Lonchura striata: one gene and its partners. The protein of the gene in region 1 purifies or fractionates together with the protein of each later gene. This does not show direct contact. Links are inferred from orthologs where the notes say so. Each region holds a gene or a part of one and is shown in the gene's direction. Other genes may lie near its edges. The genes, in order: SOD1, HSPE1, TPI1 and ENO1.

The links.
Region 2: the proteins of SOD1 (region 1) and HSPE1 purify together in Homo sapiens (affinity purification with mass spectrometry; 3 studies listed by BioGRID, with this or other methods). This does not show direct contact. The link is inferred for Lonchura striata from reciprocal best matches to the Homo sapiens genes SOD1 and HSPE1.
Region 3: the proteins of SOD1 (region 1) and TPI1 purify together in Homo sapiens (affinity purification with mass spectrometry; 3 studies listed by BioGRID, with this or other methods). This does not show direct contact. The link is inferred for Lonchura striata from reciprocal best matches to the Homo sapiens genes SOD1 and TPI1.
Region 4: the proteins of SOD1 (region 1) and ENO1 fractionate together in Homo sapiens (co-fractionation; 3 studies listed by BioGRID, with this or other methods). This does not show direct contact. The link is inferred for Lonchura striata from reciprocal best matches to the Homo sapiens genes SOD1 and ENO1.

The regions. Positions count from the first base shown.
Region 1 is NC_134604.1:18,641,269-18,648,809, reverse strand, and holds the start of SOD1 (superoxide dismutase [Cu-Zn]), read left to right. Parts: upstream 1-4,530; 5' UTR 4,531-4,571; coding exon 4,572-4,646; intron 4,647-5,067; coding exon 5,068-5,161; intron 5,162-5,558; coding exon 5,559-5,628; intron 5,629-6,950; coding exon 6,951-7,065; intron 7,066-7,380; coding exon 7,381-7,491; 3' UTR 7,492-7,541. UniProt on the Homo sapiens protein: Destroys radicals which are normally produced within the cells and which are toxic to biological systems.
Region 2 is NC_134610.1:28,261,657-28,268,775, reverse strand, and holds the start of HSPE1 (10 kDa heat shock protein, mitochondrial), read left to right. Parts: upstream 1-4,102; 5' UTR 4,103-4,347; coding exon 4,348-4,350; intron 4,351-6,201; coding exon 6,202-6,366; intron 6,367-7,119. Other genes in the region: HSPD1 (60 kDa heat shock protein, mitochondrial), read right to left, coding at 1-210, 2,862-3,035. UniProt on the Homo sapiens protein: Co-chaperonin implicated in mitochondrial protein import and macromolecular assembly. Together with Hsp60, facilitates the correct folding of imported proteins.
Region 3 is NC_134604.1:29,741,729-29,748,812, forward strand, and holds TPI1 (triosephosphate isomerase), read left to right. Parts: upstream 1-4,084; 5' UTR 4,085-4,171; coding exon 4,172-4,283; intron 4,284-4,928; coding exon 4,929-5,052; intron 5,053-5,127; coding exon 5,128-5,212; intron 5,213-5,338; coding exon 5,339-5,471; intron 5,472-5,580; coding exon 5,581-5,666; intron 5,667-5,792; coding exon 5,793-5,880; intron 5,881-6,148; coding exon 6,149-6,267; 3' UTR 6,268-6,718; downstream 6,719-7,084. Other genes in the region: USP5 (ubiquitin carboxyl-terminal hydrolase 5), read left to right, coding at 797-885, 1,081-1,272, 1,811-1,954, 2,108-2,253, 2,338-2,491, 3,136-3,220, 3,381-3,474. UniProt on the Homo sapiens protein: Triosephosphate isomerase is an extremely efficient metabolic enzyme that catalyzes the interconversion between dihydroxyacetone phosphate (DHAP) and D-glyceraldehyde-3-phosphate (G3P) in glycolysis and gluconeogenesis.
Region 4 is NC_134626.1:1,242,196-1,250,018, reverse strand, and holds the start of ENO1 (alpha-enolase), read left to right. Parts: upstream 1-4,822; 5' UTR 4,823-4,925; intron 4,926-7,823. UniProt on the Homo sapiens protein: Glycolytic enzyme the catalyzes the conversion of 2-phosphoglycerate to phosphoenolpyruvate. In addition to glycolysis, involved in various processes such as growth control, hypoxia tolerance and allergic responses.

The DNA.
Region 1 (7,541 bases):
CCATCCGGTGTCACTCCCTGACCCCGAACTGCCTGCACCAAACAACCCCAAACTCTTCCCCCTGCACCGTTTGCAGTCATCCACATTGCCACTTTTGTCCCCAGCAGAGCCCACGCTGAACCTGAAAAAGTGTAAGAAGCAACAAGTTGGTTCTAGCTTCTGCTAAACACGTTTTTCCTTTCCTGACTCTATTTTCTGTACAAACTGTCCTTAGAGGTCAGTTTCTGAATGCCCAGAAATGTAAATGCCATAGGGGGACCTTGTGGCTCTCCACAACTCCCTGCCGGGGGGCAGGACAAGAGGAAAGGTGCCAGGAGGCTGCAGTGAGGAGGATTTTCCTCTGGAGAGATGCCTGGCACAGCAGAGCAGGGCTGCACCCTCTGCCTGTGCCAAGCAACTCCCTCGGTCTCTCAGACCTGAAGCACGGCATGTCAGAGCGGTCCTGGCCAGAAAATCCCTGCTCTTCAAAGCGTGGCTTAGCCACAGGCTGGGATTAGGGAATAAACACAATCAGTGCTGCTCTCCAGCAGCTCCAGCTGCGGGCAGAGCGGCACTGCCAGGCTGGGCACTGCCAGGCTGGGCACGGCCAAGCCCTCCCCACGCTGTGACACAGTGGCTACCAGCCAGGGACTGTCAGCAGCCTTAAATTGTCCCACCAGGCCCACGTGCCCGCCTGGATGCCCCAGAGTGCCAGGCCTGGATGTGGCTCAGCACAGACACCGCTTCTGGAGATGCCACAGCCTCTTCCAAAGAAGCCCCACAGCCCGGCCCTGGCAGAGCCCGTGGCAGGGGCTGAAGTCTCTGCACAGAGCTCAGTGTGGACGGGAACTTCTGCTCCTGCCTCCAGCTCCAGCAGCCACAGCCCAGGCCCTGGCCCTGAAGACACAGAGGTGCTCTGAGTACCTTTTGAGAAAGTGTTGCAGCCACATGAGCCCGCAGGGTACAAAGTCTGCAGGCTGCCTCCTGCAGCACCCTTTGGCCCTTTGGCATGGCTGGAGACTGCGGAAATATCTCCACACAGATGCAGGACATGTAAATACTCATGAATAAATACTCCACAGTGCCATGGAAGCTGTATGAAAATATGTGGCCAGTGCATTTTCCAGCTGCAGTCCCACTTTTTAATTGCTTGTATTAAGGCTTTGGCCTCATTTTACTGACAGCTCTACAAACCCAATGGTGCCCAACCATGCAGAGCTCCCAGAAAACAAGCCACATGTTTAAAACTCCAAATAAAACCACATCTTTGTTATTCTGGACACCTGTCTGCTATATTCTGTTTGTCCTTCCAGCTTTCCTGCAGAAACAGGGTAGTTTACCCTGTGGCAACATTTATTTTCTAATTGCATAATAATTAGCATTTTCCCTGTGGTTTTGTACTTTGCATCTCAAGGATTACCCAACAGAGCTGAGTTAAATCCAAGCCACCTCACCCTTGGTGTCCTGACACCTGCTGTACCACTAAACTGTGCCACTGTGCCTGTGGCAAAAATGAGAGTGCAGGGCAGTTTGTGTTTGAAATAAATCCAGACGAACCTCCTGGATCTTCCCTCTGGCACACGCTCACATGGGCTGGGACTTGCAGAGTTTTTTGTTTAGTTTGGTTACCAGTGTAAGAATTTCTCAAATAAAAACTGGCAATAAAGTCTAAAACTAAGCTACGCTTTCTCATCACTGGGAATGAAATCCTTATCCAGTCATAAAGCATGACAAGGTACAGGGTTTCTTTGGACTTTGTTGATTTTTATCCAAGTTGATATTTTGAAATGCACATCCCATAAATATTGTCTCTATACACAGACACACAGTGTTTTGGTTGCATTCCTTTAGGTGCCTTTCAGTGGCCAACTAACATTCCTGAGTGCATAAACAAAAACACAACAATTTTCAGATGTGCTTTTTGGACAATATTCTATCTTTGGCCAGTTTCAGAAAGGATATTTCCATGCTCTAGCTTAAAAACAATTTAAAACTCCAGCTAAGATACAGTTTGATTGCGCTCATCCCTCTGTGCCGCAGCTCCAGAAACCCTATTTTCCTCCATCCTGGTTTTCCTGGCTCTGTGGTCCCAGTTTCAGCCTGTCAGGCTGTTTCCATGGGGAATCCTGTCCAGGCTTTGGTGCTGTGTGGAATACTTGAAGCACTTGGTGAACTGGCAAAAGTAGCAGGAATATTAGAAATAATCAAAGCCCTCCATGGGCAGACCTTGGCAGAGAGATGCAGCTCTCGCCCCACGGTGGGGACAAAGTTCTCACAACCAGGAGGAATTGTTCATAACACACAACTCTTGATCAGGACACAGGGAGCCCACAGTGAGATGAACATTCCAGCTCTGTGCTTCTCCCAGAGAATCACCACAAGCAGGAAAAATTATTTATTTGCACCACAGGAAACACAACTCTCAAAATTCCCTCTTCTTTTTGAACCTGTATAAAATCTCACTGAGGAATTGTTCCCTCAAGATCTTTATCCTTGCTCTAGGCCTTTTCACGGGACCTGAGGTTTGGGATTTTTTGCTACTTTGTCACATTTTGCTGAGAAGTGTATTAACTTTTCTCTACATAGCTTAGGTTGCTGTTAACCTGCATCACGCAGCAGTTATTTCATCCTTTAAACTGGCAGATTAGGAGAGAATCAAGATGCCAAAACTGCCTTTAAACTGGCAGATTAGAGAGAATCAATATGCTCTTTCTCTTCTGTCCTCTCAGCTCTGACTCTGATATTCCAAATAATAAAATAATCACGTCACCATTTGATGTGGCTGGGTCAAATGATTATTTTTGTGCTGTCAAACACCACGTTCAGCTGCACTGGGAGGGGGGTGGGGGTGGATTTTCTCACCTGCTGACAAGATTTAAGAAAATAAATGAGTTTAAAATAAGTATGTGGGACAAAACATAACAAAACCTGCCCAACTGAGGCACCCCAGGTATCCTGACACTGATTATTAACGCCATCAGCCTCTGAAATTACTTTTGGTTATTTCACTTCGCCTATGAAGAAACCTGACACATCTGGCTCTCACCCATCTGTTTGTGCCACACTCGTGTTGGGGCATGGAGAAGGGCAGATCTTGGAACTGATCTTGTTTTCCAGGGAGGAAACAATAAACCTGATGAAAACATCAGGGCGGGTTTGGAGATCAGACTCAAAGTAAGAGAAAGCCTTGCAGTGATACGGTGATAAGGGAAGTAAAATGAGACATTACCATGTTTAAGGAGTTTAGAAACCTCTTTAAATGAAACAAGGCCACCTCGAGGGCACTGGAAGCTCTCCTCCCGATGGAGCAGGCTCAGGGTGCTGCTGTTGTGCCTGTTTCCTCACAAGTGACTGAGTCTCCTCTCCAGGCACAGCAGGATTGACACTCCAAGGAGTGTTTCTCTCCCTTCCTGGACAGGAAGTTTGGGCTGGCTTTCTTCCCAGCATCTTTCCAGGGTTGAGCTACAAATCCCAATGTGTCTCTCCATGTATTTATCTGGATCACGTCTTTTTCACCTGGTTTGGTACTCTCCTGCAAACAACTCTCTGCTGCAGTAATGTCACCTGAGCCATGGCTCAGGTCTTTTGAGGTGTGAAACAACCACAACTGCTCTGCATCCTTCCCCGGCCTAATGAGGCCCCAAACAAGTCACTTAGAGCTACCTGGGCTTTAAGTCACTTATACCTTAGTCACAGACAGAGATTAATAAAAACCCCCTTGGGCAGCAGAGAAGGGGGGATTCTGCTCCTCTGTCCCTGTGCCCAGGTGAGACCCCACCTGCAGAGCTGCCCCAGCCCTGGGACACAGCAGCAGCACGTGGAGCTGCTGGACAGTCCAGAGGGCTTCAAACTAACACAGAGTGGGTTTAAATTGGATATCAGCAAGGAATTGTTCCCTGGGAGGGTGGGAGCCCTGGCACAGGGTGCCCAGAGCAGCTGTGGCTGCCCCTGGATCCCTGAAGTGTCCAAGGCCAGGCTGGACAGGGCTTGGAGCAGCCTGGGACAGAGGAAGGTGTCCCTGCCCATGGAATGGGTGAGTCTGGATGAGCTTTTACGTCCCTCCCAACGCAAACCTTTCCGTGATTACCTAAAGCTCCAGGTACTCTCAAATCTGTGATTCTGATTTAAGTTCCAAACACCCTAAGGGCAGAGCAGCTCTAGCGAAACGCAGAGCTGCTCAGGGCAGCCTCACAACCGCACTCCAGTTTGGGATAAGAACGGAGCATCCGCCCGCCGCCCCGTCACAGCTGCGGCTGGAGAAGGAGCAGGGTGGGGACACAGCGCTGCTGCTCGTCCCACGGCGCGGCGGGGACACAGCCGTGAGCCGTGCCGTGAGCAGCACCTCCCTCTCCGGTCCCTCTGAATCATTCCCGGTCCCGGTCCCCGTTATGCGCCTCCCGCCACCAGAGGGCGGCTCTCGCCGCCGCGCTCACCGCCTCTCGGCCCCGCCTCTCCCACCTCCCCGCACCGCGATTGGCCGGGCTGCGCGCGGCGCCCCGCACGATTGGCTGCGGAGCCGGCCGCCCCCCCTATATAGCGGGAGAGAGGGCGGGGCGTGCCGGCAGTCCGCGGGCGCTGCGGGCGGGCAGAAGATGGCGGCGGTGCGGGCTGTGTGCGTGATGCGGGGCGAGGGGGCTGTGGAGGGTGTCATCCACTTCGAGCAGCAGGTGAAAGCACGGCCGGGCCGCTGAGAGCTCTCCCAGGGGATCTCCCTCTTCAGCCTCCTCCCTGTGGCCGGCGAGGCGGGAGGGAGCGGGGCGGGCTCAGCTCGAGGGCGCTGCGGTTCCAAATGGCCGCGGCCCTCAGGAGCTGCGCCGTCCCCTGTGGCCGGCCAAGGAGCCACGGCCGCGGGGTCACTCGCGCTCCTCTGTGACAGTACGGGATCTTTCTGGAAGGCCCCGTCAGATAACAGGCACTCCATGTGCTTATTGATAAAACAGGTAAAAGAACGCGTTTGAGGGCGTTAAACGAACGCAGACATTCTAGGTCACTATCGCGGGCTCGTGGCGGGGCCTTTCTGCCACTTTCGTTTGACACGGAGCCGTGTAATGCCAAAGTCTTTGTGGTGACAAATGCTCTCCTTTGAAGAGTACCGGACCGGTGAAAGTCACTGGGAAAATCACTGGATTGGCCGATGGGGAGCACGGCTTCCACGTCCATGAGTTCGGGGACAACACCAATGGTAAGATGTCTCTCCGGGCCTTTGGGTCACGGCGGGAAGGTGGCTGCTTCGCTCCGAAGAGCTGCTCGTGGTGTTGCAGCAGCAGCTTGGGTCTCATGGCTGCAAGTCTGTGTGAGGAAATTGTGGCCGTTCCCGAGGAATTGCTTCCTGGCTAATACTCTGAGCATGTTGAGGCTGGTGGTCAAGACCTGACATACCAAGCACTCACCTGAACTCTTGGGATATCTCAGTGTTATGAAATAATAAAGCTTCTGGCTGAGCCTGGGACTTGTAAGTCTGTAGCAGGTGATTTATCTCCAGGGGATTAGCAGGGAGAGGAGCTGTTTGCTGTTGCTGGGAGCGGTGTGGGAGCAGGAGCTTTATCCTGGGATCCTGCTCTGACTGTGCTGTGTTCTAGGGTGCACCAGTGCAGGCCCTCACTTCAACCCGGAGCAGAAAAAGCACGGGGGTCCCAGTGATGCCGAGAGGTGAGTCCAGGGCATGGGCACTGCTGGGGGCTCAGATGTACCAGAAAATCCGTGGGAATTCCTGCAGGGTTCCCAAGATCACTTAGCCACACTTTAGTAACCCCAGCAGCTTGTTTCTCTGAGAGTGTGCTGTGAAATACTTTTCTGAGGGCATTGTCTGGTTTTAGCTTGGCCTGGGTGGAGGGGACAGTGAGGGCCTGATGCTTGTTCTGGGTATCAATACTTGAGTGGGATGTGAGACCAGGCTCTTCCCTGGTAGCAGCTCTCACAGCCCAGTTCCCTTGGGTGGGTGCCAGAGGAAGTGGTGTGCCTGTGCATCTGGGGAGTGGCGCTGGGAGCAGGGCTCAGGCAGCCTGGTACTGGCATCACCCTTGGAATGCTGACATGGATGGTTGATAAATCCCACCTGAGCCACAGGCCCGGCAGAGCTGGATGTGGGCCAGCTGCTGCATGACACAGCATGAAATGTGTGTCGGGGCCCTGGCAACCACTGCTCGGGGCTAAAGGTTGGGAGTGCACGAACATTGTGGCTTCTGGAACCTTGACAGATCTGCTCCTGGTGTGGCTGTGGGCAAGGGAGTTCCTTAGGAAGATGCAAGAAGTGGATCTTCCTTTTATCAGTGTACAAGAAACAACTGGAGAGAAGCTTTCTGGAAGCTAAAATCAAGCAAATTTCTTAGGGGAGAGCTGCCATTAACCCAGTTTTGTAGGACTTTGAATTCTTGCAGAAAGCTGGTTGTCAGCCCTGGGCTGGCTGAGCTGGTCACCTGGCAGGGATGTGTCAGTATTCCAGGTTCTGAATCTGGACAGAGGAGCCTGACAGAACACGATCAGCTGCATTTTGAGTGAATGCTGTGCTTAGGGCAGGTGTGCAGGACACAGCACACCAGCACATCCAGAAGTCCTGTGAAAATTCCACTGCTCGAGGCTCAGTTCTCCTGGCAAGCCTTAGCAGAGATGTAGCTCTGATAGAAGCTGTATGGAAGAGCAGTATGCCAAGTGATGGGGCAATGCCAAACTGGAATAATCATCCCTGGTACTGGCTGGAACTGAGCAGTTCCTGCATTGCCTTTGACCTGCTGCCTGACAAACTGCTTCTCCTAATCCTCCTTAAACCAAAAGCCTGCAGCTGTCTGTGGAACAGCTGAGCTGTCATGGACAGCAAAAGCTCTGAGAACAGTAGCAGTGTTCACCAAGTTTGCAGGAAAGGTTGTTCCACTGGATTTGGGAGCCTTTGTTATGCTGTAACATAAACTCCCAGCCTTCCCTTGGAAACGCTTTCAGTCCAGGCCACTTTCTGAGTTTCCTGTGTGTTTGTGCAGGCATGTGGGAGACCTGGGCAATGTGACTGCCAAAGGAGGCGTGGCCGAGGTGTCCATCCAGGATTCCGTCATTTCCCTCTCTGGACCACACTGCATCATTGGCCGCACCATGGTGGTGAGTGACAAGGGAAACCTCAGAGCAGAGCGAGGGGATGTACAGCCATCCCCATGTGTTTTAAGTGTGGCACTTCACTGCCATGGACCCCAATTCCTGCGAGCCTTCTGGAGATGTCCCTCTCTAATTCTGCCCCTTCCTGCTGTGGGTGCCTGAGTCGCCCTTGGTCAGGTCTTGAACAGGTCCAGCTGGAAGCTTGTGGCACAGAGATCAGATTGGCATTGTGTAATTAGTTTGGTGTTGCTGCTGCTGCCAGGAGCAGCCATGATTGGAGCTGCACTTAGATCAATTAAGGTCCCTTCAATTCTCTTGCAGGTGCACGAGAGGCGGGATGACCTGGGCAAAGGGGGCAATGACGAGAGCCTGCTCACTGGAAACGCAGGGCCTCGCCTGGCCTGCGGAGTGATTGGGATTGCCAAGAGCTAAGTGTGGTACCTGCAGTGCTCTTCATTGCTGCTCTTACCCTTCCCCTGCAA
Region 2 (7,119 bases), on another chromosome or scaffold:
AAAGCCTTCCTTGGCAATAGCTCGTGCAAGGACTGTTGCAGTAGTGGTACCGTCTCCTGCTTCTTCGTTGGTATTGTTGGCAACATCTTGAACTAGCTTGGCTCCTATGTTTTTGTATTTGTCTTTCAAGTCAATTGCCTTTGCTACTGTCACACCATCTTTTGTCACTTTGGGACTTCCCCAGCTTTGTTCAATAATAACTGTTCTTCCCTAGGGGGACAAAAACCAAATTCTAAATCCAAGCTAATCCAAAGCAAGTTACTCTCAAGAGCTCAACTGAAAATTTTGAACAGTCACAGCTTACACGGGGCATTCAGCTGGGACTTCTCAAACACTTACTTTAATACTAAAGTTCTCCTAAACCAGAAAAATGGTTCAAAAGCTTTATGTTTCCACAGAATGACACTCCATTCTTCAGCCATAATGCTTAATACCTGCTATTAAGTAACACTGACTGTAGAGAAAAAACTGAAGAGATTCTCTCTAATGCTAATATTTTACCCCAAAATTAAAAGTACAGCAATTCAAATAACCAAATTTTCAAAATTTTAATCACATCACAATAAACATTCTTTGTGATTAAAAAACAAGTAATACAAAGCTCAATTTGTTGCATATGCTGTAAGGAAAAAAAAAAAGCAGACTTGCAAACCTTAATAGTGATTAGCAAAGACAACTGAGAATACTTCAAATTTGTGTTCATGTGTTACAGTAATTTCTCAAGCACTTCAAGTTACCAAGCTTTTCTCATCTTAGCTCTCGCCTGAATCCAACTAACAAGCCGGAGCATTGTATCTAACAGGCAGAGCTAACACAGGAACCAACAGCTGTCCCAGTCATGTTCCAGTCGGAGCTGGAGGCAGCAGAAACTCGAGCCACCTCTGGTTTAGTGCTGCCCTGAAACTCCTCTGCTATCCTGGCAGCTGGAGCTGCTGGAAGAGGGAAGGGAGCCCCAGCTCAGCAGTGTCCCTCCCAGCCAGCCCTGCACAAGTGCCCTCACTGGGTCTGTCAGGTCCTGCTCCGAGCTGACCCCGCCGGCTCCTGCCAGAGCCCAGGGTGGGGATCAGGAGCCAGGCAAGGATTCAGTGCAGCACCCAGCGCTGCGTGCCCTGTGCCCCTCCCCTGCTCGGAGCCCACACACATCTGCCTCAAAACCGAACCAGCTCTGGCTGCCTGCCAGGCACGAGGCCTCGCTGCTCCTGAAGCACAGCACCCCAGCAGCTACAAGGAAAGGTTCTGCTTCAGTTACTCAGGCTGAACCAGGGGAAGAACTCATTGAAATTTACCTCTGTGCCACGGAATAGTTATGATAAAATAATAAATTATCTTATTTGACCTGCCCATCTAAATATAAATGTGATTCAAGTATAAGAAAACTCCTCTGTGGAGGAGCATGCTACCAGTAGGTACATTTTTCATATAACGTCTCCTAGTTTGCTTAATTCTGTTTTGTATTTGATATAGTCTTATTCTTAATGGTTGGTTTATAGCTCTGAGAAGAGGAGCACAACAAAACCTAGATAACAAATCACATGAAAGGGCTTGCTCTTTTAGAAGCAAAAACACCTGTCTGTGTTCCTGAAGAAGAGAACAAACACCACCAGTAACTGCACAGGCATTTAGGAATGGTCTGGCTCCCACACAAACCAGTTCTGTTCAACATACTGGAGCACTACCAAAAGATTGTGTGAGACTGCAAACTGGGCTCCTTAAAATGTAGAGCAGTGCCAAAGGAGGTTTCCTCACCAGTGATGTTTCTTAAAAATGCCAGAAGCAGACTCAGGCACTGCAGCACAACCCCTCAATTTTTACAATACATGAAGAACAGCATAATGAACAAAAATCCCCTAAGGTTACACTACGTTACATCAGCAACTGCCCTTTAGCCAGTGGATTAGAACTGTGCTTCGGCATTCAGAAAGCAGCCTGATCCAAAAAAACAAGAGTTAAATTAACCAACTACACTTAAACTTTGTTCCTTCATGGAAGCAGTCACGGCTTCCTGACATAATTGATCCTTCATCTGCTCAGCTTTATGGCACTTTTGCCTTTGAATGAAAGTGGTAGAGCACTAAAAATGGGCAGAAAATACATGAAATAATGTTACAGAGGACAAGCAATCCTCAGAAGAACTACCATGCACATGCTATTATAGGGAACAAATATTCACATAACCCCCAAGAAAATCCATGTCTCTTCCTCAAAAAGAGGAATCTCATTTCAAGCCCTACTGCACATTGCATGACTATGCAGAATACCACAGCTGGTTTTCCAAGAGACCCAGATCTCCTTTACAGGACAGAATATAGGGTAATAAATGCAATACCACAAAATTGTACTTAGGCTGGTAATACTCACCAGACAATTGAAAACTCAACATCACACTTTGGCTATTTTTAAAAGCTTATTAATATTTAAAAGGTAAACCAATATAAAATTTTAATTTGTTAAACAAACAAAACAAGCATCATAAAAAAGTCCAACCAAGCCACCCACACGCTGATTAACCTACCCCACGACACAGACAGTTACATTATCTACTGCACTGTTACAGGTTATCAACTGAGCTGGTAACACATTATGCACAACTCCTTAACCTTCAAACTGTTTAGACGAATATAATGTACCTTTCACAAGATTCCAAGCAATTTTACTTTGTTACTTCAAAAAGCACGTGCACTATTGTCCCACTTTTGGTGGACATGAGACTACAGCTGCTTGCAGGAGCCCCATTCCCCTACCCTTTCGCGTTGCAGGTCTGCAAATACAATCGTGCAGCTTCACCGAGAGAAACTCAACAACTGTTCTCTGTTACAGTTATTTTCAGCCAGGTCTAACATAAAGGCCAAATCTTCCATTACCTTTGGCCCCATGGTGACAGCTACAGCATCTGCTAAAAGATCTACTCCTTGCAGCATCAGAGCTCTCGCGTCTGCTCCGAATTTCACATCTTTTGCATAGGCTCGTGTCAGATGTGGGGCGAGGGATCTGGACACTGGTCTTATCTGACGGAGTACTGTAGATAAGCGGAGCATGTCTAAAATATTAAAAGAAAGGTAGAGAAAAACAAAAGCATTATGGCTTTGCACAGCTACTTCTGCAGGAAAAGAGGGGTAAGAGATTCAGGAAGTAAAGCAGGCACGATGAATCTTTAGTTTCTCGAGTGGCTGAAATCGCGACACACAAGTAACTGCGGGTACCGGGCCGGGTGTCCCCGATGCTCCCGCCGAGCCCCGCGCGGCCTGCAGCACGTCCGATCCCTCCCGCCCGGAGCGGGGCAGGGCGCGGCGAGGGCAGCGCGGAGCGCCCGCGGCTCCATGTGCTCGGCGCGGGGCCGCGCCCGCCCGCGGCCGCAGCGGCAGCTCGGGTACGGCTCCCGCAGCCCGCTACGCCACCAAGGGCGGACAGGAGAGCGACAAGGCCGCGGCCGCCACCCGGGCCCGCAGGAGCCCCCGCGCCGGGCAGGGCCCCGCGGGCACATGGCCGCCGCACCAGGACACGCGCAGCAAGGTCAGCGCCGCCCGCCCCCCGCCGCCGCCGCCCGGCCCGCCGCGCCACCCCCGGCCCGCAGGAGGCGCGGGGCCCGCTCCCGCCGCCCGGGCGCACAGCCCGCATCGCGGCCGCCCCCCGCTCCCGCCGCCCGGGCCCGGCCGCTCCCGGCGCGCGGCCCCCGCGGGAAGCGCGGCCGAAGGAGCGGGGGCCCCGTGCCCCTCCCAAGCCGGGCAGGGCGGCGCGGGCCCGGCGCGCCGGGCGCGTTCCCGCTCACCTGCGGCAGCGCGGGAGCAGCACCGCGGCTCTGCGGACTCGGGGCACGTCTGGCGCGGCGGCGGCGGGCGGCGCTCGGCACTCACCGCCTCGGCCCCGCCCCCGCGCCGCCGCCGGCCCATGTGCGGCTCCGGCCGCCCGGCCCCGGAACCAGCATGGCCTCCGCGCCCGCCCACAGCCCGCATGCCGCGCTGGGCCGCGGGCTACAACAGCGCATGCGCCAAGGGCTCGTAGCATGAACTATTCATGTTCCCGGGCCCGCCGATTCCAGAACCTTCTGGAACGCTCATGCCCGCCGCGGGTCAGAGGTGAGCTGACCTCACTTCCGTGCGGGGCCCGGCCCGGGGCGCCGCGGGAGCTGCGCGGCGGGCCCGCCGTGCCGCCGGGGCGCAGCCGTTCCCGGGGCTGAGAGGGGGCCGCAGAGGTCGGAAAAAAACGGCGGCTCTGAACGTCCCCGGGGCCGGGGGTCGGGTCTGCTCCGCCCCGGGGCGGGGCGCCGGTCGCGCATGCGCCCGCCGTGACCTTCCTCACGTGTGTGCTGGCGGCGGCGCGGTCACTCGGTGCGGGCGGCGCGGGAGCAGCATGGTGAGTGCCGGGGCCCCGCCGCGCCGCCTGCCCATCGCTGCTGTGGCCCGGGCCGCCCCGCCCCGCGTGTCTGGCGCCGCGGGGACAGACGGCCCGCGGGGCCCCGCGGCGGCCCCGCTCTCCCCGCGGTTGGGTCGCTGCCGGGGCCCCCGAGCAGCCGCGGCCGCGCACGGCTGCGCTCGGTCCCCGCGGGCAGCGCTGGGTCGCGGGGAGGCGCGGGGAAGGTGGAGCCGGGGTGGCGGCGCCGCAAGGTCACGCAGTCCGGGGGGCAGAGGCGACTCCCCGGCAGGCGCGGGGGCTGCGGCCGGGACGTGGCGGGAGGTTTGCCGGGGCTGGCTGCCTTTGGCTGCGCAGACACTCGAGCTCAGGGTTCCTCCCCGCCGCAGTAACGGGAGCAGCCCCGTGACAGCAGCGCCGCAGGGCAGGGCCGCACAGGCCACGGCGGGTCTCTGCGGAGATGGAAACCTGTGCCACGCTCCAGAGCTCTCCTTCTGTACGTTTAGTGAAATTTTTTATAGGGAAGAAGGAGAGTTTGACTGAGTTGCCCTTGTTCTTGCAGTGATACTTGGTTCTTGTGATGATAATAACGTAAAGAATTAAAACTTGGTGTAAAATGTTCATGATCATTAGTCTGGCAGCTTTATTTTTGGTAAACGTAAAACAGCTCTTAAAAAGGAGGGTCAGCGATATTATTTTCACAGAATGAAACGTACAGAACTGGCAGCCTTTTCCCTTGGTTAGCTTTCATCCCTGTGCTGCTGACAGCAGTCAAATACATCTTCTATGAGCTGCCTTTTGTTCGCGCTCTGCCTGTGGCTCTGCTTTCTGCCACTTCTCAAGTGTGTGTGGATACCGGTGAGTGCCAGCAAAGGGACACGGGTGCCAGGCCCTTCTGGCTCTTTCTGAGTGTGGCCTCTGTGTACCTGCCTAGTGGAGCACTAGCTCCATGTGACTTGGCAAGTGGCCATATCTTTCCTTCTAAATCAAAGCAAGTTCCTTCTTCCTGACCCCCGTGCTTTTGGATAAATGCATTTGCTGGCATTTATCTGGCCTATGGGAATTTGACTGCCGATTCTGGAATGCAGACAGGTAGCAGTAGGTAGTTGTAAAAAAACCCCAAAACTAAGCCAGATATGAGAGGAAAACCCAACAGCTTAATAAAAACCCCTCAACTTGACTCTGCTTAAACAGAAGCAGATACCAAAGCAATTGAGCTAGAAGGGTGCCTAGCTTCTCATTTTCAGGTTCTTGACCTAAACTTTCTTTTAATTTTTTCTGAATCTCTTTGTAGAAGTTGGGATAAGTAACAGCACTGTGTTCAGGCTGCAGATTCTCACCTATTTTTTTGAAAGCACCTGAGAAAAGCTGACAATGGGGCACCTGGTTAGACTTGTGCTTCTTTAATGTAAACCCTTTCACAAGTGTAGATGTAGCTCTCCCAAGGAGTCCTTAATCTCCATTAGATCTGGTTGTGAACTGGAGAAATGCGGTTCATATAATCAATAATTATGTTCGCCAAGCTATAGCAACTAAGGGTTTGGTGTTAAAAGCCTAGAGGCCTTTCCAGACAGAGGAGTCTGCTCTGTCCGAGGGCGGTTTATTCCCCAGCTGGAGTACATCTTCCTACGGCCGAATTGTCAGGATTTCCCAGCATCTGCCTGTGCCTTCAGGAGTTTCTGATGCAGTCAGAGCTGGTACTTGTTTGCTGCTATTAAAGAAGTGCTTAGCAGTTGTCTTACACTATTCATCTCTCTCAAAGGAGGAATCACTATGTGTTGGATTTTTAAAACTCCTTTTAATTGCAGTTTTTGTTGTAATGGTGCTCTTACTAATGTACAATTACTTCCACAGGCAGGAAAAGCATTTAGGAAATTTCTTCCCCTCTTTGATCGTGTGCTGGTTGAGCGATGTGCGGCTGAGACAGTAACCAAAGGAGGAATCATGATACCAGAAAAATCCCAAGGGAAGGTACTACAAGCAACAGTAGTAGCAGTTGGATCTGGAGGCAGAGGAAAGGTAATCACCCTGAAGCATTCCATTTGGTAGAACCAGTAATGGTGTGGTGGTCACTGGAATGTTGCCGTGAGAGTGGGATGGTTGTTGTGCAAAAGTGGTAATGGATGACTGTGATGGCTAAAATTGCAAGTGGGGATTTAAAAGCAGGTAGAAATCTCAAGTTGTCCTGAAATGAATTCCAGCATTCCTTTCATCATTTGTAAAATGGAGTGGAGTTTCTTTTGTAGACAGTGTTTTATGTGATACCATATTTCATCACATCTCAGCCAAAACCTTGAGGGACCAGTAGACTTCTTTGTTAAAATTACTACGTGCCCAAATGTCTGTGACTTGTGAGCAGGGTGGAACCCCAAAATGTGGTATTGGCTGCCTTGTGCTGTGCAAAATATCATTATCGATAAGGATTAGGCTTCTTGGACTAAAGAAAGTCAGCAATCAAAAGAAATAATTGTTGAATAACTGTTTGTTAATTTTGCACATTGGATATGCATATGCCAATAAGAGTTCACAGAAATGCCAGTGCCTGGGTGCTCCCACATCAGAAGGGCTGGTTCCCCACCAGAGCAGTGTTCAGTCAGTAGCAACACTGGAAAACAGGTTAAATTTCAGCTTGGGCACATTGCCTTGGCCTTCCTTTACCGTGAGTCCCTCTATACGTCCCAGGCTGGTTTGTGTCAGGATCTGATTTTTAATGGTTTATATTGTGAAAGGGTGATAATGTTTGACTAATGTGTTAATGTTTTATTTATAATA
Region 3 (7,084 bases), about 11 Mb from region 1:
AGCAGCTTTCTGCTGTGATGCTGAGTATTCTTTTGCAATGAAAGTCATGAAAGAGTTGGAAGGGCTTTTCTATACTCCATTATTAATGGATTAATTAATTAAATTATTAAATTCTCTACTATTAAGCAATAGCTACTATAAACAAATAACACATTGAAAAGTAACATTTTGTTTTAATTTTTACTGAGTTGTATTCAAACACTTTACTGTCACTTGATTTAGTTCTACAGCATCTTGCAATTATCACCTGGTAATGAGTATCTGTCTCACTTAGAAGTGCTTCTCCCTTCACAAACATTCCCGTCTGTTTCATAGCTTCCAGACACTTTCTCTCTCAAATTGTCTAACTAAAAAATGTTTTATTGAATTTGGTTAACTTAAAATTCACTGCTTCTGTTTCATATCCAAAAAAGCGCTCTTATGCTTGAAAGCTTGACAGTTCCTGCATGTTCTGTTGCTCTAATAAAAGATGTTATTTCCACTACATTCCTTAAGAGTTAGACTTCCAATTAAACAAAATCTGACCAGGTTTGTAAAATACAGGATTGGAAGGTAGAGCATATGTACAATTTTTTCTCATCTCCAAGATTTGCATTCCATCTCATCAGGGCTTCTGTCTTAGAAATAGTTCTGTGTTTGAGGAGCTTTAAGCTCAGTATAGAAGAACTGCACAGACAGGTGTGTCCCCCAACTTGCTCAGGACATGGTTCTGTCCTGCTCACTGATTTATTGGATCAGCTAGATACCCTTAGTCTTTGCTGACCAGGTATTTAAAAATATTACGTGTCTCTTTCAGAACAACACGGTTCGCCTCTTTCCCAGACTATCTGGTCATCCAGATCAAGAAGTTCACCTTTGGTCTGGACTGGGTGCCCAAAAAACTCGGTAAGGAGGATGAGAAGTACAGAGCATATAGGTACTGGGAGTCACATATGGATATTGTGGTCACTGCTGCCAGGAGGAAAGTGACTATCCCAAAAGTTGCTGCAGGCATCCCCAGGGACTTACCCTTCTAGATCTCCCAGCTGAGTCCTTTGCTTCTGCCCCTACGTGGAGGCTGAGCAAGACCATATCTTGCAGATGTTTCCATTGAAATGCCAGAGGAGCTGGATATCTCTGCACTGCAGGGAACGGGGCTGCAGGAAGGAGAGGAAGAAATGCCAGACATCGCACCCCCACTGGTGACACCAGATGAGCCCAAAGGTAGCCTGGGGTTCTATGGCAACGAGGACGACGACTCCTTCTGCTCCCCTCACTTCTCCTCTCCAACATGTTAGTGATTCTCCTCCTCTCTTCCTGATGCCTGACTCATTTCCTTGCTCTCCTTGCCTTGTGTCCCATGCTAGCAGTTTCCCACTTGCTCAGACTTTCCCTGTCCTTTTGTCAGCGATTGCCAGCTGCCTCCCTTGCATGCCTGTTATGCAAGGGTGTTATGCAAGGGGGTTTATTGATTCCTGTTCTGTGCAAGATGGGGTGGCGTGTCTGGTGCATTTAGAGGAGACAGAGCTGGGATTTATACAGCATTTAATTGGTAGGGGTATTTAATTTTTACAAACCACAGTGGGAGGTTGGGTTCAGAGCCTAGGGAAGAGCCAGTGCTCCTGAGTTCATGGGTTGAATCATTTTGTTCTTTGCCTGTGTGTGAGACTGCTCTTCTGAAGAAGAAAGGTGGCTGAGAAAAGCCATGAGATGGAAGGTGGTGTGAAATAAAGCTAGGAAGTGGTGGCTTTGGAGGCTGTGTGACATGAGACAAAATGGAGCCAGCAGGGATGGGTGGGAGTGGGTGGCTCTAACTTCTGTCTCCCCACAGCACCCATGCTGGATGAGTCGGTGATTATCCAGCTAGTGGAAATGGGCTTTCCCATGGATGCCTGCCGCAAAGCCGTGTATTACACAGGGAACAGTGGGGTTGAGGCGGCCATGAACTGGGTCATGTCACATATGGACGATCCAGGTATGAGGCCATGGGCATGGTGAAGCTTTCTGCTGCTTCTGGGCTGTTCTTGTGTCCTACTACCACAGTGGAAAACTGAAGTAGTTTGGACTTGGGCTGTACCCTCTTGGAGAGATCTGATTACTCGGAGCTGTGTTGTGTTTCCTGCTGCAGACTTTGCTAACCCATTAGTTCTCCCTGGATCCAGTGGGCCAGGGTCAACTATTGCCTGCCCAGACCCTCCTTCGGAAGACAGCGTGGCCACCATTGTCTCCATGGGCTTCTCCCGGGACCAGGCAATGAAAGCGCTTAGAGCCACGGTGAGAGGCATGGGTGACATCAGAGTGCAAGGATTTTCTCAGGAACAGGAATTCTCAAGTTCACTGTCGTCTTCTTCCTTCCAGAACAACAGTCTGGAGCGTGCTGTGGATTGGATCTTCAGTCACATCGATGACCTCGATGCAGAAGCTGCTATGGATATCTCAGAGGGGCGCTCGGCAGCCGAGTCCATCTCTGAATCCATCCCTGTGGGTCCCAAAGTCCGCGATGGGCCTGGAAGTGAGTTCCAAGCCATAGGAATGTGGATTTTGGGGTGCAAATTCAACATTGCTTTGTCATTCCTGATCCATGCAGTACTGCAGGTTTTAGCAGCAGCAGCTACTGCAGAGCTGGTCTGGTTGTAGAGGTGGAAGCAGGGAGGAGGAGGGAAGGTATGGCAAAGTAGTCTAGATCCTTCAGGCTGGATGAGTGTTAACCTGGAAGCCAATAAGAGAGAGGTTGGGGAAGGGCCATGAAGAGAAAGGAAGGGCTGTGCTGCTTTTGTCCAGTGGTTCTAGGAGGCTTTTTTTGCTCTCTTGGTTCCCACTGAAAAAAAGTAGTTCTGGTTTGTGCACAGAATTTGTGCCAGTGGTGCTTGGCTCCTGGGTGCCATAGGGAGGCAAAATCCCTGCCTTACCCATCCAGGAGCCATGGCCCAAATAGAAAGTTGGAAGAGACAAGTCTAAATGGAAGTCAGCATCTCCCATTTCCCTCTATGTCTGGCCTTAAGACCACTGACAGTCACACTTGACGGGGGATCCAGTTCTAAATTATTACCCAGCAGAGCCTCCTTCAGGGATCCTTCTCTAGAGAGGGCCTTGCAGAGGATGTTAGGGTGTAAGACATCTTTCCCTGACAATCCTCTCTTCCCTCCTTCTTTCAAGAATATCAGCTGTTTGCCTTCATCAGCCACATGGGCACTTCAACTATGTGTGGACATTATGTTTGTCACATCAAGAAAGATGGCAGGTAAGGATTTCCACAGTGTAAGGGAACTGAGGTACTGGTTTTAAATCCCCAGCCTGCCCTGTTTCTTCAGAAGTCTTGGGGGGTTGGGACTGAGAGCAGGCAATCGAGTTGTGTCTTAACCACGAATGGCATTCCTGAGCTCCTCTTACTCCTGTTGCAGGTGGGTGATCTACAACGACCAGAAAGTCTGTGCTTCTGAGAAGCCCCCCAAGGACCTGGGCTACATCTACTTCTATCAGCGGATTCCCAGCTAGAACATCCTCTTGCTGTGTGTGGTGGGGGGAAAGTGGGCTGAAGCTGTCGGGGGGGGAAAGGGGTGGGGGCAGTGAGGGTGGGAGCAGGGTCCTTCTCTTCTCTGCTGCTTTCCCCGGTCCCTTCACGGCCTCTCTGTGGAGACACGGGGATACAAGAGTTCACTGACTGATCGACTGGGGGCTGGAGCCCCCGTGGACATGAGTGAAGGGGGTTTGGGGGGTTGGGAATATCTGTTTCTGTAGGAAATGTCCTCACTGTCCCCACCCCCGTGCCACACAGCCCTAGTGCTTCGCTGCTTGGTGGGATGATGCCACCTCCTTGCTGTCCGGAAGGAGAGGAGGGGGCTCGTGTGTACGTGTGGCTTGTGAATGGGGGGGGTTCCTCCTGCCCGCCCTGTCGGGCGGGGGCGTGGGGCGGGCAGCAAGGCGGGCCACGGGCAGCGCTTCCCCTTGTGTGCCCTTGAGATGCCAAAATACACGAGGGACAAAATAAAAGCCGAAATTCCCCCCTGGCTCCTGTCTGAGCCCGCCTGGCCGCGGGAGCGCGCGGGCGGGGCGGGGCGGGGCGGGCCCGCGCGGGGCGGGGTGGGCGGGGCCTCGGCCGCCGCCGGGCTATAAAAGGGCGCCGGTCTCCGCGCCGCCGCCGCTGACCTTCGCGTCTCCTCCGCCGCCGGCCCCGCTCCCGCTCCCTCCCGCCATGGCGCCCAGGAAGTTCTTCGTGGGGGGCAATTGGAAGATGAACGGCGACAAGAAGAGCCTGGGCGAGCTCATCCACACGCTGAATAGCGCCAAGCTCTCCGCCGACACCGGTGAGGGCGCGGCCCGCACGTAGCGCACGTCCCACACGGCCCTGCGGAGCCGGGGACCGGGCCCGGGCCCGGGCGGGGGAGCGCCAAATGTCAGAGGGCGGCGGGGCCTAAATATAACCCCGCGGCTAAATATACTCGCGAAACCGGATCCGGGCTGCTGCGGGCCCGGCCGCCACGTGCGGCCGACCCCCGGGGACCCCGCGCGGCGGGCCCGGGCCTCCCCTCGGCCTGGCCCCCGCGCCCTGCGAGCGGCGGTCTCGCAGCACCGAGCTGCGCTGCGCCCGCCCCGCCGCCGCGCCCGGCTATACCCCCAGGCGCAGCCCGGTTCGGCCAGGCCAGGCTGCAGGGTGGGATTCTCACGCGATCGTTCATTTGGGCACTTCCCAAGGGACCCCTGTGAGCTGGCCGTCGGGCTGGTGTCGCCTGTCCAGCCCCCTAGAAAAGGCTTTCCTCCCTGCTGTTGAGTAATCGGATAGCGGGGATTGCCCTGTGGCAGAGGGGCCACCAAATGTCAGTGAGGAGGGGCAGGCTGTGCCTTCCCAGGAGAGAGGGATGACCCCTTGGGGCTGGGATTTGGGATCAGTGGCTGGGTACAGTTTCTGCCCTTTTCCTGTCACAAGGGTTACAAGGTGCTTTGCCTTGCAGAGGTGGTTTGTGGAGCCCCTGCCATCTACCTAGACTTTGCCCGTCAGAAGCTCGATGCAAAGATTGGCGTGGCAGCACAGAACTGTTATAAAGTACCAAAAGGAGCTTTCACAGGAGAGATCAGGTGAGCCCAGAGAATAAAGTTAGGGTGCCTCTGGGATGTGAACTTCCTCCAGTGAGTCATCTCCTTTCTCCCCAGCCCAGCAATGATCAAGGATATTGGAGCTGCATGGGTGATCCTCGGCCACTCAGAGCGAAGGCATGTTTTTGGAGAGTCTGATGAGGTGAGTGGCCTCATAGAATGGAGACATGGTCCAGTTACAATGGGTCTGCAAAGACTGAGAAAGTGAACAATTAAAACATACCTCCAACCTGTTTTATTGGCTGCCTTGTTTCTTTTCCGTTCCCAGCTGATTGGACAGAAGGTGGCTCATGCTCTGGCTGAGGGCCTTGGAGTCATTGCCTGTATTGGAGAGAAGCTGGATGAGCGAGAAGCTGGCATAACAGAGAAAGTGGTTTTTGAACAGACCAAGGCTATTGCTGGTAAGAGGAAAATGAAATGGTTGATTTGGTTTTTTTTTTAGCCATTTTCCAGCTCTGCTCTTCCCAGTATGGGGGTATTGTGCTTACCTCTACCTTCTCTCCTCCCTAGATAATGTGAAGGACTGGAGTAAAGTGGTTCTTGCCTATGAGCCAGTTTGGGCTATTGGAACTGGTAAAACTGCAACTCCCCAACAGGTATGAGCATGGGAGGTGCTGCTTAAAGGACCAACTGACCCTTCCCCCTCAGGAAACCTTGTCTTTGGAAGGGAACTGTGTGCAGAATGGCTCATGCCTCAGTGTGACTCCTGCGTTGTGTTGCAGGCTCAGGAAGTTCATGAGAAGCTGCGGGGGTGGCTGAAAAGCCACGTGTCTGATGCTGTTGCTCAGTCAACTAGGATTATCTATGGAGGTGAGTCTGGAGCGACTTTCCAGGGCAGGAAGTGCTTCATTTCTCTACCTGTTGCTGCAGTTGTACATAATTTCTTCCTGGCAAGGAAACTCTTGACTTTCAGGGCATAAAGAATCACCTTATAGCTTATTTGGGTAGCTTGCTTGGATAAATGGGAGAGTCTTGCTGTCTGTAAGAAGTGGCTGGTACCTTGCCAGTCCTGCCTTTGCTCTGGCCCCATTTTCCTAGAGCTGGCGCATCTGACCTTAAAACACTGCTCCCTCCTTAGGTTCTGTCACTGGCAGCAACTGTAAGGAGCTGGCCTCTCAGCATGATGTGGATGGCTTCCTTGTTGGTGGAGCTTCTCTCAAGCCAGAGTTTGTGGATATTATCAATGCCAAACACTGAAGCACCCCATGAGGAGCTGTCCCTTGTGGTAAAGAAGTGGAAGCAAGAAGGGACCTTTTGTTGCACACATCTCAGTACGGAGGCCTCCCTTGAGGCTTTCCCCCTCCACAGTCATTGTTCTAGATGTTCTGCTAACCACCCCCACCACGTCAGAGTCCTGTCTGCAGGAGCCTGTCTCGGCAGAGTCTTGACAAGTCTCCACTCTGAGCTGAATCCTCAGTTTCCTGTTGACCTGTTCAGAGCTCACAGCCCACCTGGCCAGTATCTCTCCCTTTCCCTGCAGCCCTGCAGGGACAGGGAGCCGCTGGTGCTGCGGGGAGGAAAAAGGAACCACAGTCTCTTGCATCCTTCAGCTCCATCAGCAAGGAATCTCTCAGCTTAGACCCTTGTGAGATGTCTTACCTCACCTGTGTCCCGTACTGAACAATAAATGAAAAACAGAAAAAGCAAAGGTGTGTCCTGGATCTTACTTGGAAGCATCTCGGGGACAAGCAGCATAGAGAACTTACTGCTTTTTGAGGTGGCTGGTTGCAGAGAGGGTTTTGTGGGCTTTTCCCTGAGAGCCCACCATTACTCCAGTAGGCACTACATGGGTTCAACCTGCATCTTGCTTCTGGCATATAACAGCTCTTCTTTGGGCCTGTGGTGATTTTGTTATATCTGTGTATCTATTCCAGTAGCTGCTGGAGCACCTGGCTGTTCCACCAGTGAGCCAGTCTTCCCTGGCAGGCTCAGTAATGTGCTCATCCATGCTCTTTGCCTGTAAGCCTGGTAATTGACTTTGCTCACTCAATGTAGAGTGGAGCAGCTCAGTCTC
Region 4 (7,823 bases), on another chromosome or scaffold:
CTCCTTTTGATGAACAAAGCAGACCTCACTGAGATGCATTCAGAGATCCAAACTGGGGACAGATGCACGCCATTTCGGTGACCAAGGGCCCAGTCCCTGCTTTCCCAAGGTCATCAGGGCCCAGTGTTTGCTCGCTCAGCTCTGCAGTGTTTTTTTCTGCAGGCAAGGTCATTGCAGGGACTTTCAGAAGGAGCAAAGTGCCCACAGTCCATCCTCGCCACTGCACTCTGAGGAGCTAAAAGTGATGATGGGAGCTGGAAGTGTTTCCCATGAGAATGAGGTTGATGTTTAAGGCAGGAAGACAACATGAAGGAAATTTAAATTCTCTGTCTGTGTTGTACCTGTTCTGTGGCAAGAGGATCCTGCTTGATAACTCTTGTGCTTTACATAACTATTTTGCACCCATTAAGGAAACAAATGAGTTGTTATTGGACTACTCTTTTTTTTTTCTTCGTGTTATCATTCAGAAAAAAAACCCAATCCTAAACACCAAATACAATTTCTTAATGGCAAATCAATTCCTAACTTGCTTTCCCCTTTATAGTGGAATACATTTCAAAGAGAGGGGGAAGGCCCTGCTCAGCAAGGAGCCTCAGACACTCTGTGAGAAGCAGTGCAGGACTTGCACTCTGGCCTCCATAAAGAGAATTACTGCATGGTTTCAGCATGGTTGCAACAAGCAGCTATGGCCTTTGGATCCAGAGTTCCTGGCAATTAATATCCAGCTGGTTCAGAAGCTTTCAGTCTCCTACAAATCACCGTATCGGATCATCAGCTCCTGGGAAATGTACTCTTTGGTATCAGTCCCCTGATTCATGCATTGGTTCCCTTCCAAATGACCATTCCCTGTGCCCTGAAGATGGATGTGGTAGTTGTAAATTTAAATTAGCATTTCCAGTAGTACAGAATATCCTGCCTGGTACCCGAGGGTCTCACACAGCCCTCGTGTACTCAGGGAGGCTGATGGTGGAGCCACACTACACAACTGCACACAGACCCACTCTAACCAGTATGGACCAACCAGCCCTCCACTAAAGCCCTGGAGAAGACAGGATGATGAAGACAGGAAGTTAAGAGCATTAAGAAAGCTGGAAGTGCTGGAAGGTAAGAGCATTAAGAAAGCCATGAGGTCTGTCACCTCCAGCCATTTCACTATTCATGCGCCTAAAGGTGCCTCGCTGCAGGGTGAAGCTGTGAGACAAAGGCATTGCAAAAAATGGGATGAAAAGTGGGGGAGAAGGATGTAAAGTCAGAGGAGGTTCTGAACGCCTGGAAGAAAACATCTCAAACAGTCATTCCACAATTTAATAGATACCCAGAAAGAGCGTTAGTCAGACTCTGCCATTACCTTTCCAATGAAGGGTCCGTAAAAACACCAGGATCTGCAGGGTGGATGAAGAGCAGAAATCTGAGTGACAGAGTGCTCACGTCTGCATCCAGTGGCTTCCCTCTGGAGGTCCCACCTGGACTGAAGCGAGTCGCAAAGCCTGGCTCCCTGAGATGCAGAGCTGCCCTGCCAAGGGAACCTGCTCAGAACACAAACAGGCTGGCACTTGCAGAGGTGTCGGATGCAGCGGGTGAGGGAGGTGCTCACGCAGCCACCCAGGCACATCTTCAGGTGTTGTGGGAGGCACTGGGGGGAGAGAGAAGTCCCTGAGCGTGCAGGAAGTGCTTCAAGGCTCTCTGAAAGCTCACGCCCTGGAATGTGCCCTGCTGCTGCTAATGGTTATTAGCACTTGAATGCATCGCAAACAAGTTCTGATCTGTGGTGGTTCTGCTCTGCCTTGGCACCCTCAGCTGCCTGAACCAGTGATTTCACACTCTGCAGAGCTCAGAAGGCTCCTGCCCAACTGCTCGAAACAGGGCAGGGAAAGGCTGGCCTGGCTGGCTTCTGTGCTCATCAGCGTGTTGCAAGCCACCAAAAAACTGACATTTATCACACTCCAATTTTCCCTGTAAAGCACAGGGAATGTGAGGCCTTGCAGCGGAGGGATTTTGCTCCTGAGAGTCGCTCTCTATTTCTGGGTGGTGGATGCCTGTGAGCCAGGTCTGTGCCAGTGGTTTTTCCCCCTGCTCCATCAGCAGTTCTGCTGTGTGAGTGTTCCTGTGTGGGCTGTTGAATGGGAGCACTGGCTTTATGTGTCCCCAAACTCTCTGTCCCCAGGGTCCACCCCATTAGCCATACAGGCCCCTTCCAAACCATGAAATACTTAAAGAGTATACTGAGTATTTGATACTGGTAACAAGCTTGGATTCCAAAAGAAATTTCTGCTTCCTAGAAATCTCATAGCCTTGGGGATGCTCTTTAAAGCAAGACAAAAAGAAAAATCAGGTAGGATACACAGCTGAGCAGCAGCACTTTTAATATCAGCTCTGAGTTTAATTTTAACACGTATGGCACAGTGCGAGTTTAAATCTGCTGATCCAGGAAAAAATTATACCAGCACCTGATCAGTGCCAGGCTCCTGGGTGCCTGGGCACTGCTGCCTGCAGCCCCGTGTCCCCAGCTGTACCTCCTCGGAGCCCTCAGCTCATTGCCCAGGCTCCAGACCAGGAAATCTGCTTTGTGCTGCCCCTGTGCCCACAAGGGAAGGAGGGAGAGGCAGGGGACAAGACCTAAACTCCTCCTGGCAAGTTCTGGGTTCTTTCTCACAAGGAGGGGTTTAGGTTGGTCTCCCACAGCCACTTCTCCCTCACAGCTTTGGTTTGGTTGAATGGGAATAGGGCAAGAGCTCAGTGCTCTGGGCAGGGGGTTCCTTTAAACCCCACTTCTGCCTCCCACCAGGCTAATTATGACCTTTCAGAAAACGTTTTGTCCCCAAAGAGCACCCTGCTGTACTTCAGCATCAGCCTTTGCTGGCTACTACAATATTTAATTTCCCTCAGCCTCAGGCTTTCTTGTGTTCCATTTTCTTTAGCTCATTATAAGATTTGACACCTCTGTGTGATTTTCCTGCATGGCAATAAAGGCACTTTTATAAAGTGCAAAGATAGTGAAGCATCTCTAATCCAGCAGTTAACCAGCATAAAAATGCAGCTTTAGGATTTCCAGCATCTGGAATGTGTTTTTACAGGGAATGTTCCCCTCTCATGCCCTCACACTGGGCAGGGTGAGGCTGCAGGATAAAGTGCTGCCAAGGACACAGCTCTAAGGGGTACAATGTGCAGTTTGGGGGGGCTGGCACTTCAAAGAATTATCTACCTGTGACAGCTTAATTCCAAGGGCTTTCCCTGCCCAGTGGTGCCTTATCTCAGCTGGGTACAACCTGATTCATGGCTGTGCAGCCACAGGGATGTGCAGGGAAGGCAAAAGCCCCACAGGCAGTGGGCATGGGGGACACGGGGCACTGTCACAAACCAGCCTGGCTGGCACAGGACTTCTCCCTCTGCAGAGGCTGCTGTCCCAGCGGGAAGGTCAATCCTGCAGACTTCCTCTGCTCTTTATTAGACTTTAAGCTTGTCCCGAGGGGATGTTCTCAGGAAGGAAAGAAAAATGTGCCCAGAAGGTACATCCGGCACAGGGCGAGGCAGGGCTGAAGCACCACGAACTTCACTGATCTGTGAGCAATAAAACAGCTTTGTTGGTGCAGTCAGGGTGAATTGGCACTGCCACATCCCCACAGATAGAACACGGAATGCTTTGGCTTGCTGGGACCTTAAAGCTCAACCATCCCAGCCCTGACACGGGCAGGGACAGCTTCCACTATCCCAGAACACTCAGGAAAGTTTGTGCTCCTGCTGGCACACTGGTGTGAGGTGTCACAGCCCAACTTTTCCACACTCGGGAAAATTTGTGCTCCTGCTGGCACACTGGTGTGAGGTGTCACAGCCCAACTTATTACATACTCAGAAAAGTTTGTGCTCCAGCTGGCACACTGGTGTGAGCTGTCACAGCCATCACGTTTAGTGCTCCTTCTCCCCTCCAGGAAGTGTGATGGTTACTCACTTCAAAATCAGAGTGAATATTTATTGTGCTTGTAATTAACCTTTTCCTGGAACACACACATCCGCTCCAGCCTTCCTCCTTCCAGGTTTACTCGTTATTCCCACACCGTCTCAGTCTCCTCAGACCACCCAGCCCCAGCCCTGCTGTCTCATCTCTCCTCATCAGGGAGATGCTCGACCCCAAATTCGTGGCCCCCATGGACCCTCTCCAGTATTCCTCGCCTTTCTTGCACTGCAGAGCCCAGAACTGGCCACAATTGTGAGGAAAGGCTGAGGGAACTGGGATTGTTCAGCCTAGAGAGAACCCTTGTCCTGGCCTTACAGCGCCTGAGGGGAGCTTAGAGAGATGGGGAGGGACTGCCCACAGGGCGAGCAGTGGCAGGACAAGGGGAATAGCTTCAAACTGACAGAGGGCAGCTTTAGTTTGGAGATTGGGAAGGAATTCCTTGTGAGGGTGGTGAGGCACAGGGCATCCATGGCACTCTGGATGGAGGATAACTCTGAAAGCCTCCAAGGCCAGGGTGGACGGGGCTCGCAGCAAGCTGGGGCAGTGTGAGATGTGGCTGCCCACGGCAGGGCTGCGGGACAGGCGGGTGTCCGGTGCCGGTGCCGGTGCCCAGCCGCGCCGCCCGTCCCTCACGCCATGCCCGCCTCACGGCTCCCCCCGCGCCCGCTCCGCATGGTCCCGCCCGCTCCCCCCGCCCGCATGCGCCGCGCCGGCCCCGCCCCTCGCGCGGGGATTTTCCACGAGGCCCCGGCCCGGCCGCACGTAGCGCACGCACGCGAGCCCGCCGCTGGCGCGAGGCGGCCGCGGCCAATCGGGACGCGGCGGGGGACGGCGCTGGCCAATGGGCGCGGCCGCGGGGCGGGCCCTGCGCGCGAGGCCGGCTATAGGCGGGTGCGCGCGGGGCCGTTGGGTCTCAGTCGGAGCCGGGGCGGCGACAGCGGCGGGGCTGCGGAGCGGGGCTGCCGGCACAGCGGTGAGTGCGGCGGCTCGCCCCGCGGGCCCGGAGGCCGCGCTTCCCTTCTCCGGAGAGGGAATCCGCTCCCCTCGGAGCGGCCGCGGAGCCCCGGCCGGGCCGAGGCTCGGTGGTCCCCGGGGGTGCAGGCTGCTGTGTGGCCCTGCAGCGCCGGCGGGGCAGGGAGGGCCTGCGGCGGCCTGAGCCCCGGCGGTGTGCGGGGGTGGGGGTTAAAAGCGGGGGGGATGCGGTGGGTCAAGGCGGGGGCAGAATCAGGGGGATGCGGTGGGTCAAGGCATCCTCAAAGACAGCGTTTAACCTCTTTCTTTTAATCATTAACAGTAGCTCTCGGATTGCGTGTGGTGATTTGGACCTTCCCCTCTTTAGTAGATGTCCTTTAGCTTCCCATCTCAAATATTTAACGTTTGCTAGCATCTGTGCCCGAGGTCTCTTAGCGGGTATTTAAGTGCTGGTTACCCCAGGGCAGCGTTGGTGGGGAGCAGCAGCTGGATGTGCAGGTGTGGATAAAGAGCTGCCTGTTAACCATCTTGCCTCGTGCAGGGCTGCCAGAGAGGACCCTGGGCTTTCTCCTGCTCCGTTACTTGCCTGCTGAGTCACAGGGTAGGGCCGTGGCTGTCTGAGCCGGCAGGAAGTACTGAAGTTTGTCATCCAAGCCCACAGGCTGAGCCAACGCACTTTCAGGCCTCCATCTTACTAAACGCAGAGAGAGAAAGTGGTTGAACGTGTCTGCATCCTTCAGAACCCGTTGGATCATGTTGTAGAGGTGGATTAATGCCCCGTGGAGTGGAGAGGAGCAGGGTTGGAATGTGCACATTTGTCCAGTTTCAGGGAGAGCTTTGGCAGGGGAATTAATACGTTGGGATCTCATAGAGTGCACTCAAAGGTCTCAGCTTTTTTCAGAGCACTGGTGGTATGAGAGTTACGGTCATAAGGACCTTTAAGTGTCAAGAGAGGCTTCCACTGATAAATGTGGCATGCCTGTAATAAGACACTCACTAGGGCAGTTATTTCTATGGCTAAACTTTAGTGTTGCTTTTTAAATCTCCATTCAGATGCTTGCAGTGCTCAGCCTTAACCCTGTATTGATTTTAGAGAAGTGTGGCTGCAAGATAGCTCACAAGGACAGATTTTGGTAGTAGGGTTGCCTATAAAACATCTTTGGAAATAATTTTCAATTGGAGTGATCTCTAGTTGAGAGTACTGCATTCCCTGTGCAGGGTCAGATGAGGAATACGTGGTGATTTCTTAGACTTGAGCTGTAGTGAAGAAGGTCCTCAGAGCTGGCAGGGGTTCTAGGTGCTCCTGGGCAGGCCAGGCCAGGAAAGCTGGAGTGTGTGGCTTCCCCTGAAGGGAGACAGTGACCTTGTCAGCAGATTATGCTGCAGGAAAAGGTTTAAGGCAGTGTGCTCGTTAAATACCACCGGGCTGTTTGCGTGTTTGGCACAGGACAAAGGTCTGAGCAGACAGTGCTGCTGTCCTCTCTGCCTTCAGTCAGCATTTCTGTGGTTAAACCTGTGCACACACGGGCTGACCCTTGTGTTCTGGATGAGTTGACTGATTTGATTGAGGCAGAATATATCGTGGTGAGCTAAACAGCATCAGTTTTACCCTATAGCTCAAAGGGAGAATTGTTTCTTGAACACAGGAGTGGAGAGTTTGCATAAGGAGCATCATGGATTTCTAGGGTAATGCAGTGCTGTGAAATGCCTCTTTCTGCAGGGAAGGGAGGGACTTGTGGTCCTTTGTCAGGGATGGAGTAATGTCTGACCTCACAGGCATTCCCAGTGGAAGTTCTTGCAGTGTGTGCTCCTGAAGTGCCTCCTTCATGAAGGTCAACAAACAGCTGTAGCACTGCACTGAGACGTCCTGGAAACTGGCTGTGCTTTCAAAGAATGAGCCACCTCAAATTCTGTAGCAAAGCCAAGGTTCTAAAAATGAAAGTAAGGTTTAGCAGGTGATAAACTCCGAAAGCCTTTTTGGATAAGTGGGCATTCTTCCTGTTAGCCATTGCTCGGTGCATCTGCAGAGAGCTAAGTGTGGGTGGGACTGATAAGCAGAGACTTGCAGGGATTTATTTCTAGCTTGTGTGTTCACTGACTGAAGCTAGGTAGTGGCAGCATGAAGGTCAGCTTGAAGAAGCTGTCTTGTTTCATATTTTAGTCAGATCATGTGTCAGTGTGGGGGTCTGACTGAAATCTTAGACAGCACGCAGGGGCAGGACAGCTGGAAGGGACAGGGAAAGCCAAAAGGGGGGAAGCAAAGGTTGCCTGTGCTTTTGACCTGGGGAGGGCAGAGTTTGCTGTGGGGGAGGAACAAGAGTGTGCAACTACCCCCTCACAGACTGTGAACCAGCAGCAGCATTTCTAAGGTCATGTTTTTTTAACTTTGCAGTAACTGTGGAAGGATTCATGACCATTTCTGTAAACAGGGTTGCCACCCACATTGGCTTGCCAAGAAACCAGCTTCCAGATAGTTGTGCTTCTGAGGCTGAGCTTTCTTCTGTGCAGATGGGCTGGGTTTGGTGCCAGTCGATGGCTTACAGGCATGTGTATGACTTGATTTTTAAAATGTGCCTGGGCTTACATAAGAATTCCCTGGCTGCACTTTTCTGAAGTGGATAAATGTAAGAAGGGAAAAAAGAAGTATCCAAAAGACTAGGGGGATTTTTTTTTTCCTTTTAAGATAAAAAGTTAAGAGGAAAAAATATTCCTGTAAATTCTCAACAGGGTGTAACTATTAATGCAAGTTTTTAATGAGCTGTGGCTTCTTCTCTTTGGTCATTGGTTCCGTTTGGCTCTGAGCAGGTGCTGTGCATACTAAGAGCACTCTGCATGCTGAGAGCTATTGCACCCTGGTCTCTTAGCAAAAAGAACTCTTGACAGATAGCAGAGTTGCTGT